Linked DNA regions of Caenorhabditis elegans. The protein of the gene in region 1 purifies or fractionates together with the protein of each later gene. This does not show direct contact. Each region holds a gene or a part of one and is shown in the gene's direction. Other genes may lie near its edges.

Region 1 (7,506 bases):
GCAATCAATTGTCCAGTAGGCCCACATGGCCCACGTGGTAGGCCTGGAAGAAAAGGAGCCGATGGACCACACGGAGGTCAAGGACGAAAGGGTCCGGATGGAATGGATGTATTCAAAGAAATGATTGGTCCTGTTGAATGTATTCCATGTGTTGCTGGAGAACCTGGACCACCAGGAGAAAATGGTTCTGTTGGAGAAAAAGGAGAAGATGGACAACCTGGAAGTCCTGGAAAACCAGGTGAAGATGGAGAATCTGGAACTGATGGGGAACCAGGGTGAGTATTATACTTTAAAAATATTCAATATACATTTTTTAAATGAATCCTCAAAATGAATCTAGTCAAACTCAGAATTCTAATTTTCAATTTCAAGATTCATCGGATTCCCTGGATTCCCAGGTGCACCTGGTGAGAATGGAGAACAAGGAAACAATGCAACTCGTGGAGTTGGAATTCCTGGACCAGCAGGACCACCGGGTCCTCCAGGAGAAGTCGGAATGCCTGGAGTAACAGGTGAAACTGGAGAAGACGGACATGATGGACCTGAAGGACCAGAAGGACCAGCTGGAAATATAGGAGATATAGCTGAAGAAGGACCAGATGGTATTCCAGGCGAGCAAGGAGTTCCTGGGTTCGATTCCGGTTAGTTGAAAACATGAAATATTAACTCACGATCTACAAAACACATGTCTACGTGGTTAAATTTACAGGAATTATCAAACTTTTATTTTTGTTAATTCTGACGTATTATTTCAAAAATTCGACTGCTGGAAATTTATTCAAAACACTGTAGACCCAAAAAACCTTGAAAGTCGGTGCTACTACAAGACATACGATCTTGAAACAACCATTACTTTGAAACTAACTCTGACTATGAGAAACTTGCAACTTTGAAATCGATTTCTATTTTCCTTATTTTATAATTTCCAGGCTATTGTCCATGTCCTCGTCGATCATCTTCAAGAGTTTCACCTTCCGGTGGATCTTCTCCAATCTCAGATACATTCATTGCATCTCCAACACTTCTTCCACCATCAACTACACTTTCATCAACCCCTCCAACTATATCTCCATCTGCTCCAACTCTTCTACCAACTAGATCTCCAAAATCTCGTGAAGAAACTCCGACAAGAAGAGAAGAACAACAAGTACCACCGAATCCTTCATCTTCTGAAGTCCCAGAAACTGGAGATTCTGCAAACTCTCAAAACTTTGGTGGATATCTCGCTTTGAAGAGATTGTGACAATCAATTACTAACATATTTTCTTAAATTTATCCCACTTTAAACAGAAAACTGAATGATAAACCTTTTTTCATAGATCTGATCAAAAAGTGATCAAGAAGGAAGTATAGAATCATCAATCACTAACCTAAATCCTGTGATATTTAGGAAGAGCAACTGCTGCGGTTTAGATGTGTTATTGGGTCAATCGGAGTGAACTCAAATTTGCTCAAAAAACTCAAATTTGCTCAAGCGTTAGGTGTTTTTCCTCTCACTTCGAAAGATGCATTCTTTTGACAAATAATATTTTTCTGTGTGGTTTTGTAAACTAGTTTAGCAGGAGTTAAACTGATTCCCTTATCTTTTGTTTTTAATTATGATTATTCTTTGCATGAGCTTCGTCTCGGAAGCGTCTCGGAACTTTTTAGTTATAGATTTTTTGGCTCTAATAGTGGAGTAAAAAATTAAATATTGGAAAGTTTCAAAAATTTTTGTGGCCACCAAGATATCTTGTTCAAAATACTTTAGAATACGAAATGTTTTTTGCATGGCACGAAAAAAGAAAACGGCTCTAGAAGTTTTACTATTTTAATTTCGTTGAAAACTCTTTCTTGTAATTCAATTGTCGTGTCATGCTACAGTATTCCCTCTCTCAACTATTCAAACATTTTCCAACATCGTACCACTATAACGTGTGAAGCTTCATACGCTTGTTTTTCTCAGGTTTAATCGCTTAGATCTTGTAGAATAATCTAAAACCGTGTATGTAGTTGTTCTCAAGGTTTATGTGTTTATTATATTACTATATATTTAAAAAGAAATTGCGTTTGTCTATAGTTTTTTAGTATTTTGGTATTACTGTAGTTTCATTAATGTGGGTATACTACCTCTACCTTTCCTAGTGTTTGACATAAAAAGGTCTCACCACGCATTAATCATTCAATTTTTTTTTGAGAAAACGTTGATCAGTGTAGATCCAGGTGGGACCGTTCAGATAGGATTGTTTTTAAAGAATCATGATTTTGAGCAAGTGCCGCAGATCTTGATCATATTAAAGCCCTTCAATTTTTCGTAGTGTGTACTATTTAATGATGTCTGGCAGGAAAAGATTCATTGACTTTAAGAAAGAATGACCAATATAAAAAGCAACATGCTGCAGGCCACCGGCTATTTTGGTGCCTACTCTAAAAGTTTCAACCTAAGTTCTCTTTCTTATTCTTTTTCTTATTATTTCCTATATTAAGTTCTCTTATCTATTTAGGCTTTTTAGACAAGTTCGAAGAAATTATTATTAGTTACATTGCCAACTCTGAATTACCACCATTGTCCTTTAACCCATGAAACATCAAATAAATCCTTAAAAATATCGGGTGCAAACTTTCTCACTTGACATTTCAAGTATTACCCCTCACTTCAATATTCAATCAACCGATCTGGGTACTTCACAATTTCCTCATTTTCCCCCTATTTTCTCAATTTTCTATTTTTTTTCCTGAAAAAAGTCGTCTCATCGACGATTTTAACGTATTCTATTGCAAAAATGTCATTCCAGGCAATGGTAAGTTGATCTCAATTGTCTATTCTTATCAAATTAAGACTTCTCATTATTTCTAATTACTCACAGACCGGCAAACTTTGACTTTTTCTTCAGAAAATGGGAAAAATGTGACTTTTTAGCAGCCAATTTATGTCCTGATTTTTAGTTGAACTTTATTCATTTTTGTAAACATAGTTTTTTCTCGTTTAAGCCTTTTACGTAATTATACTGTTTAGTTTTATTAAAAGAAGATAGGAATATCATTTTGTTGCAATTCTCAGAAGTCTTGTAGAATAATAGAAGTTCAGAAACAGCCTACCTTCGTGCCTACCAATAGTACCTTATGTTCCCATTTCAATTAAATTTTGCCTACAAACTTAAAAACTTAAAAAGCTTTTTTTCCGGCAGCAAGTTCCCGAATAGGCAAGAGGCAGGCATAGTTCGTCTTGTAAATAAAATTAAGTTTTTTTTTTGAAACTTCGATTGGTTGATGAGTTTAAACAAATTTAATATGGCTGTATTTCAAAATTATTTTCAATTTTCTTAACCAAATTTTTGAATTCCAACACTTGTTTTTTTAATAGGTCATTTTCATGTATTTTAAAAACTTTCAATAATTTTAAAGTAATTTTTATAGGAGACATTTGCTGAGATCAGTCAAGAAATATTGATGTCTGCAACTAAACCTCCAGATTTTGATTTCGTTCTAGAACAGGTTACCGCCACACAAAATCAAATATTCAAAGAAATAATAATATACGATTTAAGGTTGGCAACTATGGTACTTATCAGATTGTTTTCTTCTTTATAATTTGCCTTCCAACTAGTTTACCATCAGCATTCTCGGGTAGATTTTATTTATATAAACTCAAATAAAAAGTTTCAAATTTAGCATTCAACATTCCATTTGTTGTTGGAAATCCACCGCATACATGTCATATTCCTGAAGGAAAAGAATATTTACGACCATTGACTAATGATACTGTAAGTTCCTATTTTTATCAGGTTTTCTTTCAACAAAACTTTGAAAAAATAGATAATTCCAACTTTGAAACTTTTCTTTAAAAATAATGAATTTACAGCAAATTCTCTCTTGCAAACAGTACAACGAGACTCAAATAAACGTGTTCCGGGCTTTTACATCAGCTCCAGTCGATACTTACAGGTAACTTGTGGAACAGTTTATTTTTTAGATATTTTCATATAGAAATTCAAAATTTCAGCGATCGAATAAGTTTAGTGCCGTGCCAAAATGGATGGGATTATGATAACTCTACATATTTGGATAGCTTGGTGACAGAGGTATGCTTAAAAATAAATTTAACGATTTTTAAGCGAATTAGAAAAAAAAACTTCACGAACGACAATACGAAATTTCAAAATTTTAATGAAATTATTTGTACACTTTTATAATTATTATAATTATTCAATAATCTTGAATGACCTAAAGTTTTGCCATTTTCCGGTTTCATAAATTAGAGTTTTGCTGATTTTTTCTTAAACCCGATCACTTTTCTGCTGAAAAATGAAAGTATTAAAAACAAATTAACGGAGTAAAACTAATTATAGTTACTATAGTTGAGCCGGAAACAAATGGCAAAAATATAGGCTCGGGAATTCAAAATTAATTCAGCTTTTTAATTTTTTTTCAGAGCTTTAAATCATAAAATAATTAGAATAATTCTATACGACAGTACAAAATTTCAGTTCAATTTGGTGTGTGATCAACAAGCATGGATTGAAATATCAACAACGTCCTTCTATGTCGGAAGTTTTATTGGAAACTGTCTATTTGGATATGTTGCTGATAAATTCGGACGAAGAAGATCATTTTTTGTAATTCTAACAGTTTTGATCGTATGTGGAACTGCGAGCTCATTTGCAAAAGATATCGAATCCTTCATTATTCTTCGATTCTTCACTGGTTTGGCATTTCCAGCGTTATTCCAGATTCCTTTTATTATTTGTAAATTTGTGTCGATGGGTGTTCAATTGAGAAATATGGTTTTTAGGTATGGAATTTATGGGCAACTCTGGAAGAATATTTTCTGGACTTATGACATCACTTTTCTTTGGAGCAGCTATGGCTTTGCTCGGAGTAGTGGCCATGTTCATCAGAAGGTATCAATTTGAAAAATCGTTTGTATTTCTGAATGTTTGAAAGTCGCAGTAGTGTTGTCTAGTAAGGAAGAATTTTGAGCTCACTGTTGCACTTCTGAATTAAGCATTTTTAATTCAGAATATTTTTTTAAATAGCACACTTCTGAAAATATTAGCATAAGCACTTTGCACTGATATTACATACTAATCTTACCACATAGGTGTGTATGTATAATAAACCTTGATTTATATTTTTCAATTTCAAATAAATACGAAAAAAATAATAATTTCCAAGTTTTATAAAAGTTTAGCTTGAATTTTTATTTCAGATGGCGTCAGCTAACATTCTTCTGCAATGCTCCATTTGCATTCTATATAATTTATTACTTCTTCCTCCCAGAATCTCCAAGATGGTCAGTTTCAGTCGGAAAATGGGCTGACGCTAAGAAACAGCTTAAGAAAATTGCAAAGATGAATGGAAAGTCAAATGTTGATGTTGATGAATTAGTGGATAGTGTGAGGTTTTTAATCAATTATATGTTTTACCAAAAAAACAAATTTCAGATGAAAAACCATCAAAATGCTGCAGAAGAAAAAGAAACGAAGAGAAGTCACAATGTGACAGATCTTTTTAAAACTCCTAATTTAAGAAGAAAAACTTTGATTGTGACCTATATATGGTAAGATTTTCATATTTTTATAAAATGCCTATAAAAAAGTAATATTTCCAGGGTAATGAATGCAATTATTTACAATGGATTAACTTTGAATGTTTCAAATCTTCCAGTTGATGATTATTGGAGTTTTATAATAAATGGAGCAGTTGAATTACCTGGATATTTCGTTGTTTGGCCTCTACTTCAATGTGCGGGTCGTCGTTGGACACTTGCAGCAACAATGATTGTATGTGGTATTGGATGTGTTTCTGCAATGTTTATGCCAGATGGTTATCCATGGCTTGTGGCCAGTGCTTCGTTTATAGGAAAATTTGGAGTTGGATCCGGATTCGCTGTTATCTATATATTTGCTGGAGAGCTTTATCCAACTGTTGTTAGAGCAATTGGAATGGGAATGAGTAGCATGGTTGCCGGTTCTGGGCTCTTGTTGGCTCCGCATATTGTTAATTTGGTAGGGTTTCTTTTTTTATAAATAAGTTTATAAAACTTTTTGAACCACAAAATAAATATTGGAAAAACGATTTTTCAGGGGAAAATAGTAAAGATATTGCCTCTACTTATCATGGGCCTGATGGCTTTGTCTGCCGGTATTTTGACATTTTTCCTACCCGAAACTCTTGGAGCACCACTGCCAATGACAATTGAGGATGCAGAGAATTTTGGTGAGTTAAAGACTTTGAGATACGGTGTCTTAGAATACTAACGCTTACTTCGTGGTAAAGAAAGGTATCACTTGGACTGTCTTATAATGTTCCAGGACGAGGCATATGCTTATAGGTCTCTTGCAAGCTGTTTACAAATCATTAATAATTGAAATAATATTTCAGGTAAAAAGCCAGAACCAGACAGTGGAATGTTCACACAAGCAGCCAAGAAACGAGAATCTCAACCACTTCTGGAACCCCATACACCAATGGATAGAAGACGGAGAAGTAGTCGACTTATGAATATTTAGACTTTTATTGTTCTCCATTGTTTTCTGAGGATAATTGGTAGGTTTTAATAAAACTTTGATCTCAATATTTTTTGTATCAATAAAGATTGTTGCTAAAAATGCGACTTCCGTCTTGCATCGACACTCCGATATTCTACCACTTTTTATTAAAATTGTTTGCATAGTCATATTTTTTGCATACCCAATGAATACATCAGTGTAAAACTGTAAGAAGTGAAAAATAAAAATAATTTGGGGCATTATTTATACAAATACCGTTGAAAAAAATATGATAAATTAAAATCATCGGATCAAATTATTGAAAAATCGATTTGATTCTTTGCCAAAGTGATCCATCGGATGGAGTTCCAGATGTTGTAGTTGTTGTAGATGTTGGTGCAGAACATGAAGAACAACAAAATGTAGCCATTACTTTACAATTAAGCATTTCTCTTGATTTCAACATTGGACATATTCCTAACCGATCTGTACACGAATCTCCTTGTTGTACAGGTGCATTTGTAATAATTGGATTATTCAACTCAATATGTTCTTGCTCAACAATTTGTTGGAAATCTTGATGCATACATTTGGAACAATGATAGATTGCACACACTTTCTTATAGTCATTGCTAGAAGCATCTTTGGGGTGACCAATAACTTTCTGAAAAAGAAATGAAACGAGTTATTTATTTTTCTTTTTCCGTATTATTTTTCTTTTTTTCACATGTTCATACATCAGTTTCGAGTTCGGTTCACATGATGTTCTGAATGTTGACTAACTATTGATTTGATGATTTCTATAAATTCTACGATCTTTTTTGACTGAACAGGATTTTGAAAGACAAACATTGCAGGAAATTAAGTTATTTTTGTGCTAAAAAGTGTTTTGAAAATCACGACAATTTTTATTGATTAGCATTTTTTGGTAACATTTGGCACTTACTAAAAACATCCTAAAGGTGAATAAAAAAAATGGCATAAATATACATACTTACCTGAAATTTTGAATCCTTTGTCATCATACTAATCTTTC
Region 2 (9,075 bases), 2.3 Mb from region 1:
TATAAACCGAAATGAGACACTCTGAAACCATGTGGGCGAAGTCCGAAAAAATTTTTTTGGCGAATTCAGCGACCGACAAAACCACCAAGGTACTAGACCATAACCTTCCTATTTTTCAGTACATCACTCTTCCAAATCGCCACAGCTTCACAGTGGATTCCAAGGATGTGTTCCAACGTGGTCAGGTGCTCAGCTACATCCGATCCAAAGCACCCTTCCTGCTCGAACATATCTCCGAGGCAAAGGAGCGATTGATAACCGTGACGTCACGCGGTTTGATGATCATTTACGAGAATGACGACCACGGATTGGTGATTGATTTGCGATCGGCCAGGAATGTTCTGTGCACTGCTGATCGTTCGAAAAAGCAGCGTCATGTAAATTGAGCCGTCTGACTCTTTCCTATTCAAATTCCAATAATTGTTGCAGTTCCGCTGTCACATCAAAATCCGCATGCAACGTGGCAATGTTCACCTCTTTGTCGGCCATAATGATGTTCACAAGTGGACGTGCGCGATTATGAGAGCCGCCGGAAAGTGCTTGCCGTCTACAGAGCCCCGCGATGATGGAAGCCTTAATGTCGCGATGATGACGGCGGTGGAGGATTCTGGAATCTTTGAAGAGATGTCGTCTACATCGTCAGCATCTTATGACTATGATGAGGATGATGAAGTCGACGAGGTGAAGCCCACTGCCATCGAGCAAATGTAAGTGGGAAGTCGATGAGGTTTTGAAGCTCACATATGCGTGAAAATGGAAGAATGGCCGTGTAAAACCTCTAACACATGTTGTTATCACAATCTTGTGTCGATTTACGCAGCCTGTGTACTCCTCGAGGAGAAGACTTAATAATTAAAATTCTGGAATTTGGGCCATTTTTGTGAATTATTCTGACATTTTCCCGGTCAACTCAAGCATTTTAGGTGAAATCTGATGGAAACTGCATGAAAAATTAGCTAAAATGCTCTGAAATCGGGAATTTTAGCCGCGCCAGGCCTGCGTAAATCGGCACATGGCCGTGGAAGAGGTTTCACACGGCCAGCTCTTCCGTTTTTAAATTTCAAAATTTATATCATTTTCTCAACATCATCCTTTCAGACCACTTCCCCATGTCTCCGTCCGGTCTCTTCGCCAGAAACTCGAGAAGGAGCTCGTCCTGAAGCCTAAGGAGCAAGTGCTCGCCGAGCAACAACACAAAGCCAACTGCGATGAGCCAAGCTTTGTCTCTGAAATCTTCTGCACCCCAAGAGCAGTTTTCAGCGATGAAACTGTAGTTCTGCTGGAGCCAACGAATGCCAGAGAGAGGAGAGAATACGAGGCGCAGGCGGACAGAGAAAATCAGTGGTGGACTAGATCTCTTCGGTGCTAATAGAATTCAATAAAGTATCTTATTTTCCTCGTTTTACAAAAATTAGGGCTCCAGGGAAGCCTATATTGTTGCAGATTTTAGAAATTTCGAGATTTCAGTTTTCCAGCTCAGTTTCTCAAGCAGAAATACCAAAATTTTCAAAAGTTTGCACCCATGGTAACTCTTTTTATGTGACCATAAATATGTGAAAAGATCCAATAAAAAGTTAAGATGGGCTGCACTATTTCGTCGTTTTCTTTTCCACCTCCTACAGTGAACAAATCGCGGCGCGCGCGTATTTTGTTTGTATGTTTTTCGGCCCCGATATGTGCAGCTAGTGAAAGGGAAAAGTGTTCCGTGTTCCCTCGGCGATGGTCAGTTTCCACAGTTTTTAGTTAATTTTTATAGGTTTTTTTTTAATTTTTCACAATTTTAGGGAAAATTAGATATGAAGTAGAAATTTTTACACTGAAATCGACTTAGAATGCCTCTAAATTATGCAATTCCTTATTGTTAAATCTATTAAAATTCGGATAAAATTTTGACAGTGCAAAAATTAGCTAGAAATCTCAGTTTTGTCACCTTTTCCTGCCAGAAATTGATTGTTATTCAATGTCCATCTATTTTGTCTATTTTCGCTGATTTAGGTGCATTTTCAGTAAATATGTGCTCAATTTTTGTTAATTTTGAACCTAAAAACTCGGTTTTCAAAGCTTTATCGAATTTTTAAAATGAAAATCTCCAATTTTACATGTTTTTCTACACACTTTGAACATTTTCGTTGACTTTTCGTAGTTTCTAACCCAATTTTTTGAAAAATTACAAAATCTTCTTATAAATTCATTAATTCACCTTCCAAAATAATAGAAATAATTATTTCTATTAAAAACAATAAACATTGCCCGTCAAATATCGCGCCTGCGTCCCCTGCGGTGTTTGCGTACATCATCGATCTCACTCTCTCCATCTCTCTGCGTCTCTCACCATTTGCCACGTCGCTGGCATCACTCTCACTCTCTCACTCACACACAACAAAACGCGGCGTTCTCTGGACGAATTGCCCGAATTCACGAATAAATCTGCAAATTACCGATGAAAATCGATTCGAAATTCGATTATTTATCCATATAATTATTGATATTTTGTCCCCTTGGCCCCCCGAATTCGCAAAAATGCCTATTTCCCACCAAATCTCACTCACTTCTTCTCACACTTTTTTCCAGTTCTTCTTGAGCATAATTCAAAGGTTGAGTTCGAATTGAATCCTGTGTAAATCTTCCCAGCAGACAAATTTTGGCTTTAAATAATTCGAAAATTATTGATTTTTCGTATTTTAAGGTATGGACGACGAGGATTCACTTTTGGAACGAATCGCCGAAGTTGGTGAGTTTTAGACGATTTTTAGCCGTTTTTTCGTAATTTTTGAGTCATTTTACCCCAAAAAATTATATAAAATTAAAAAACAAAAAATGCAAAATTAAAGTAAAATGCTCAATTTCAGATAATCTAGAAGAAGAAGAAGAAGACGATGAAGTAGTGAAGTCAGGCTCTCCGGAGGCAGAAGCCGAAGCTCTGGACTATAACGAGGATCCAGAGGACGGAGAAGAAGGTGAAGAGAAGGAAGAAGCTTCGGAAGACGGAGAAATTGAGGAAAAAGCTGAGAAATCGGATAAAGAAGATGAAGAAGAGAAAGAAGACGGAGAACTTGAAGACGGCGAGCTCGAGGACAGTGATGACGGCGAAATTAAGGATGATGAGCCGCAAAAACGAGGTAGAAATTGAATTTTTTTTTTATTAAAATAATGGCTTTAAAGTAATTTCCATGAATTTCAGCGCCTATTACGGCTCCAGCTGGGTCCGCTAGAAGGCCCATAGAGGTTGGTTCGAGTATGAATGATGTGAGTCGATGTTGTCCGTCTCGTTTTGCATGGAATCCTGAAAGTAGCCTGAAAAAAGCTAAAAATTGCAATTTTTCGTGTCAGAAATCGATTTTTATTCGTTGTTTCGTGCAATTTGGCACATTTTTGCTCTTTTTTCACAAAAAAAAAGCGCAAAAAATCGGACACCGGCAGGTGGAAACCCGAATTTCGCTATTTTTAAATTAATTTTCCCATAAAATAACCCACAAAGATCAATTTTCACAGTGAAATACGTTTGAAAAGCCCCATTTTCAGTAAAAATGCAATTTTTGGAGTAGTTTTATCGATTAAACCGCAAATTTCGGATAAAACCTTCAATTTTTCTTGTCATAGCGGTTAGAAATCATTTTTTACTGGATTTCTACGATTTTTCGCTCATTTTGGCTCAATTTTAGTCGAAATGTGCACAAAATGCCCTTAAATCAGGGAAAAATCGGTCAAAATGGGCAAAAAATAGTAAAAATTATGTGAAAAGCGATGGAAAACTGCATAATTGTGAATTTTATCCGATTTTTATCATTTTTCCGATAAAATTACCTATTTTTACTGCAAAACTCCAATTTTCCCAATTTTTAGCTTTCTTTTGTCGCTCATTTTAGTCAATTTTATTGGCTTTTTCTGTCTCAAAGCCTAATTTTCAGCGATTTTATTGATTTTTGTGAAATTTTTGAGCTTTTTGATGCATTTTAAGCATGATTTTTAACGTTTTTAATCATATTTTGTGTGAATTTTCTGCTTTCAACCCTCAAATTCTCAATTTTCAGAACCGAATTTCCCGTCCAATGGGTCGACAACTTCCACCAATCCGGAATCATCCATATGTGCCACGTCGCGAAGATCCTGGAACAGTTTCATGGGAAGCTGCACTTTTAGCAGCAAAAAGAGCTGTTAATGGTCGCGAAGGTTGGTAAAAATTGATTTTTCAGCTGAAAATCCGAATTTTTCAGTCCAAAAAACAGAAAAATCCGCAAATTTCGAAGAAAAACACTGAAATTTGCAGTTTTTCAGTGAATTTCAGAGCAATTTTTGATTTTTGGAAGTAAAAAATTCGGCAAAAAATACAAAAAATCTCGGGAAAACTGGAAAAAACTCAAAAAAAACTCAAAATTTCCCTCAAAACCGATAATACTAGCGATTTTTCAATAAAAGTCACTAATTTCATAGAAAATCTCCAATTTTACCACTTTTCATTAAATTTTTTTCAGTTTTCCTGCTGAAAATCTACAAAATAGGCGAAAAACTGCCGACGTTTAGCTAATTTTCATGTTTTTAGACCATTTTTCAGTGTTTTAAAGCTTAAAAATGCTCCAATTTCAGACGCAGAAGCTGATCGAGGATCCACGTCACCTACGGATCCAGACAAACGGGCGATCCCATCGCTTTTGGACATCCGGACCCACAAACCACAAATGAAAGGTTTAATTTTACGCGAAATTTGAAAATAAAACGAGGTTTTTCGGTCCATTTTTTGGCCATTCACCTCTAAAAATGCAATTTTCTACCTAAAAATTCAAATTTTTTCAGATCTCGGCCCACAAGTGATCTACCCGAATCGCGCGCCGCCAAATCCATCATCATCACAAAATCGATTTAAACGTGACTCCGCGCCATCGGCACCGGCTCGCGATGCTCCAATGTTTCGTGGCAGGACCATTAGTCAGCGCCAGGCGCCACCACAAATTACCCGCCGAAATTCGTCAAAATCACCGCCTGCACGTGGAATTAGCTATTCGCCGTCGAAATTCGATGCTCACGAGATATCCAGTGATACAGATGAGGAAGCAATGCAGAAACGACCGCCGAGAGAGCGGAAAATTACACTGAAAAAGGCGAAACGGTCGTCTTCGGTGTCTTCGTCCACTTCTGAGTGCGTAAAAAGACTGTTTTTATGGGAAAATCGTCTAAAAATGTGTTTTTTTCTTCATTTTCAACAAAAATCGCAAATTTGGCGCAAAAATTTGGTTTTTTTCGGCAAAATAATGTGTTTTTCCATTGTTTTTCAATTAAAAATTCGCAAGTGCGGCACGAAAAAAGGGGCGGGGTTTCGTTTTGCAAGTCTGCGGCGCGGCTTTTTATTTTCAGATTTTTCAAGGATTTATTCGTTTTTTTCTTTAAACTAAAATTTTTTTTTTTTTTTTTTTTTCTTTAAACTAATTTCTATTAAACTAAAAACAGTGCCGCAGCCTTGCAAATCGAAACCACGCCCCTTTTTTCGTGCGGCACATGCGGATTGGAAATTTAACGCAACTAAAAATGGTTAAAATTACAATTTTTTCCCAAAAATTCGGAGAAAGTTGCAAAAAAATTGGAAAAATTGACGAAAATTTTCAAAAATCAGAAAAAATTGCACAAATGGCTAAAAAATCGGTAAAAAATTGCCAAAAATCAGAAAACTTTAAAACAAAATTTCAAAAAACCGGAAAAAATTTGCAAAAAAATGGAAAAAAATTCTAAAAATCGGAAAAATTGCAAAAAAAATTCCAAAAAGTTGCGAGAAATCAGTAAATTGGAAAAAAAATCGATAAAAAAACCAAAAAAAATTCTACTTTCAGAGCCACAATCCCTGGAGCCCGTGACATCTCCACCGACTCATCTGACGCCGGATCTTCTAGCAGACGGCGCCGAGCTCGTCGCCGAAGTCACCGATCTCGTTCCCGAACCTATTCAACATCCTCAGATCGTGGAAGCTCATCGAAACGATCCCGTCAGCAGCAGCACATGAAGCGGAAGACTCCATCGTCACCATCACGAAGATCCCGAAGCCGTTCACCTCCACCATATCCACCGGGACACGATAAAAAAATGTTCCAGCAGAAGAAAAAACGGCAGGATAGTGTGGTTACAGGAGATATTCATGCTTATCGGATCCCGAAACGAAGCTCTTCCGGCAGGGATTCTCAGAATTCTTCGTTTTTCAGCAAGAATGGAGCAAGTAGCAGCTCAAGATCTCAAATCAAACGATCTCGTCAAAGATCGGAGACCCCACCGATGGTTCCATCGGCGAAACGTCGGAAGGATGATCAGAAGCAGAAGCTTCGACGTGGAGACACTGCTGGTGGACCTCAGAATATTAGTGGTGATAGTGATGATAGTGCATCGACATTTGACTCTCGGCGAGGAAAAAGGATCTCGAAGATCAAACGGAACCGCCGATCGCCTTCTAAGGAGAGCATCACGTCGAGAAGTAGCTCGTCGAGCTCGTCGAGCAGAAGCAGGAGTCGATCTAGTCATTCGGATAGCTCAGGTGCTGCTTTATTTGGATGAAAATTTTGGGGATTTTTAGCGAAAAAATGGAAACATTTGTTTAAAAAAAAAACCGCCAGAAACTATAAAATATGTCGATTTTAACGGAAATAAGCCTTTAAAATTTGATATTTTCACCCGAAATTTGAAAAAAAAAAGATCAAAAATCGATGAAATTAACTCAATTAACTCAATTTGACACTAAAAAATCGCAAAATTTGAGTTTTAAAAAATTCCGAAAAAAAATCCGAAAAACTATGGTATTTACGTCAAAAAAGAGAAATTCCATTGAAAATTGATTATTTTTTCTAGAAGTTTGAAAAAATCCATCGAGAAATCGATAAAATTTTGGTTTTTCCTGGAAAAAAACCACCCCAAAACTATAGAATCTATTAGAATGCAAAAAATTTGCTAAAAAATGCTGAAATTTGATGAATTTCTATTCATTTTCACCACAAATTTGCCCTAAAATTTCCGAAAAACACCGAATTGCCATGTGTCGATTTACGTGGCTCTCGTGTACTCCTCGAGGAGAAGATTTCGCAAATTTTGGCTTTTTCAATACAAAAATTAGATTTTTCTATTGATTTTCTATTAAAAACCAACACGAAGATTTTTCGAACATTTTTCTCGGCAAAAATTGAAAATTTGAAGAAAAATTGCAGAAATTCATTGGAAAATTTCCCAAAAAAATTCCAAAAAATCAAAAAAAAAATCGCATAAATATATCAGAAAAATTAGAACATTTAATTTTTTCCAAAAAAAATTTTTTTTCGAAAAAACGTCAAAAAATATAAAAAAAAAACGAAAAAATAGTGATTTTCTTTGAAAAAATCAGAAAAAATCGCCAAAATTATTCAAAAATTAATTTTTTTCCAGATTCCTCCAGCTCCAAACTTCCATCTCGCTACCGCCAAAAACTTCCAACGGAGCAAGAGAAAATCAGCTCCGATGAGGATGAGCCAGCGGAGCCAATTGCTCAAAAAGCTGCAGCTCCAGTGAGCCCAAATCCAGCTTCATCGCGCTCCGCATCACCGGAGCCAGCTCAGCAAGTCGATGAGCTTCTGGAATCCGAAGAAGCTGCTCCACCACCACCACCTCCACCGCCACCAGAAAATGAGCCGGAGGAATTTCCACCACCACCACCGTCGATTTCGATTCGGGAAACGAAGAAACAGTTGAAAATGCGGCTGAAATCAATCAATAAAATGCTGGAAATTCAAAAATCCTCCCCGTTGCTCGAGGGAAATTCATCGGAGAGCTCGGCCACGGCGACTGCTCAATGAGCACTAATTTCTTGGGATTTTTAATTCAAAAAGTTGAAAAATAGTCTAAAAAGCTGAAAAAAACCGAGCAATTTCGCTGATTGGTCCAAAAGTGGGCGGAGCGAATCGCTGATTGGTCGCAGTTGAATTTTTCATTTTTTGTTTTTTTTTCAATTTTTTGAAGCAAAATCCCTAGAAATAAATTAAATTTCATATTTTATTTATTTATTCCCCATCTCCTCCCACCCACATCTAAAGTGCAATAGAGCACGCTTTCTCTCTCTCGTTTTTGCTACGGTTTTTCAATTTTTCCCTTCTTTTCTCTCTACCAAAATCGCTATAATATTTTTTTTTAATTGGGTTTTTTCAATTATTTTACCCCGAACCCCCCCTCCCCGTCGGTTTTTGTGATTGTTTAGAAATATTTTTATGTGTGGTTTAGTTTTTGAAACTTTTTCTGTTTTTTTTTTGTCTATATAAATACAATATCTGGGAATTTTTAAAGATTTTTTGTGTATTTTTTGGGTTTAGAGACGATTTAATATTCAGAAAATGACTTATTTCTTTTTAAAAACTACTATTTGAATATATGGAAGAGCTGGCCGTGTAAAACCTCTTCCACGGCCATGTGTCGATTTACAAGACTCGTGTACTCCCCGTGGAGAAGATCTTGCAGTTATTTGCTATTTTTCACTTAAACCACTAAACGAAACAAAAAATAATTTTAAAAAGTGTAAAACCACGTATTTTGAAAAAAAAGGAAAATCTTCTCCTCGGGGAGTACACGAGCTGCGTAAATCTACATTTCACCGATATTTCCCAAAAAAATTCGAAAAAAAACCATCAAAATTGATGAAATTTTTGAAATTGTTCCCAGAAATTTGAAAAAAAATACAATTTTACTAAAATATCCGTTTTTTTCCAGAATTCTATCGAAAAAAAAAATGAGCAAAGACGTACGAATTGGAGAGCCAGGAGAATCCACGTCTCGGGGAGGAGGTAATTTTCAATTTTTGAGAAAAAAATAAATTGAAATTTTGAACTAAAAATGATAATTTTCCGTAAAAAATTGGAAAAACAATCAAAAAATCGTCAAAAAATCAATAAATTTACGAAAAAATCGATAAATTTTCCGTAAAAATCAATTTTTTTGGAAAAAACCTTCGAAAAGCCAATAAACTTAAGTTCAATTGAAAAAATCTATAATAAAATAAATAAATTTCTCAATCTCTTTTTTAAAAAATCGATAATATTCCGTAAAAATCCAAATTTTAAAGAAATCTTCGAAAAATCAATGAAT

What was found.
Region 2: the proteins of oct-1 (region 1) and C15C6.3 fractionate together in Caenorhabditis elegans (co-fractionation; one large-scale study listed by BioGRID). This does not show direct contact.

Annotation. Positions count from the first base shown.
Region 1 is NC_003279.8:9,887,435-9,894,940, reverse strand, and holds oct-1 (Organic cation transporter 1), read left to right. Parts: upstream 1-2,717; 5' UTR 2,718-2,762; coding exon 2,763-2,780; intron 2,781-3,396; coding exon 3,397-3,474; intron 3,475-3,527; coding exon 3,528-3,606; intron 3,607-3,651; coding exon 3,652-3,743; intron 3,744-3,841; coding exon 3,842-3,924; intron 3,925-3,982; coding exon 3,983-4,061; intron 4,062-4,466; coding exon 4,467-4,725; intron 4,726-4,771; coding exon 4,772-4,880; intron 4,881-5,188; coding exon 5,189-5,375; intron 5,376-5,423; coding exon 5,424-5,539; intron 5,540-5,590; coding exon 5,591-5,987; intron 5,988-6,065; coding exon 6,066-6,198; intron 6,199-6,363; coding exon 6,364-6,491; 3' UTR 6,492-6,585; downstream 6,586-7,506. Other genes in the region: col-64 (Nematode cuticle collagen N-terminal domain-containing protein), read left to right, coding at 1-275, 373-641, 930-1,243; Zinc metalloproteinase nas-5, read right to left, coding at 6,787-7,134, 7,469-7,506. UniProt on the Caenorhabditis elegans protein: Transports organic cations such as tetraethylammonium (TEA). Displays a broad substrate specificity.
Region 2 is NC_003279.8:12,204,411-12,213,485, forward strand, and holds C15C6.3 (YTH domain-containing protein), read left to right. Parts: upstream 1-2,686; 5' UTR 2,687-2,688; coding exon 2,689-2,731; intron 2,732-2,849; coding exon 2,850-3,119; intron 3,120-3,181; coding exon 3,182-3,246; intron 3,247-4,031; coding exon 4,032-4,170; intron 4,171-4,584; coding exon 4,585-4,683; intron 4,684-4,791; coding exon 4,792-5,176; intron 5,177-5,819; coding exon 5,820-6,511; intron 6,512-7,389; coding exon 7,390-7,796; 3' UTR 7,797-8,279; downstream 8,280-9,075. Other genes in the region: C15C6.2 (DUF7778 domain-containing protein), read left to right, coding at 120-377, 430-707, 1,099-1,369; popl-4 (Ribonuclease P protein subunit p29), read left to right, coding at 8,720-8,774.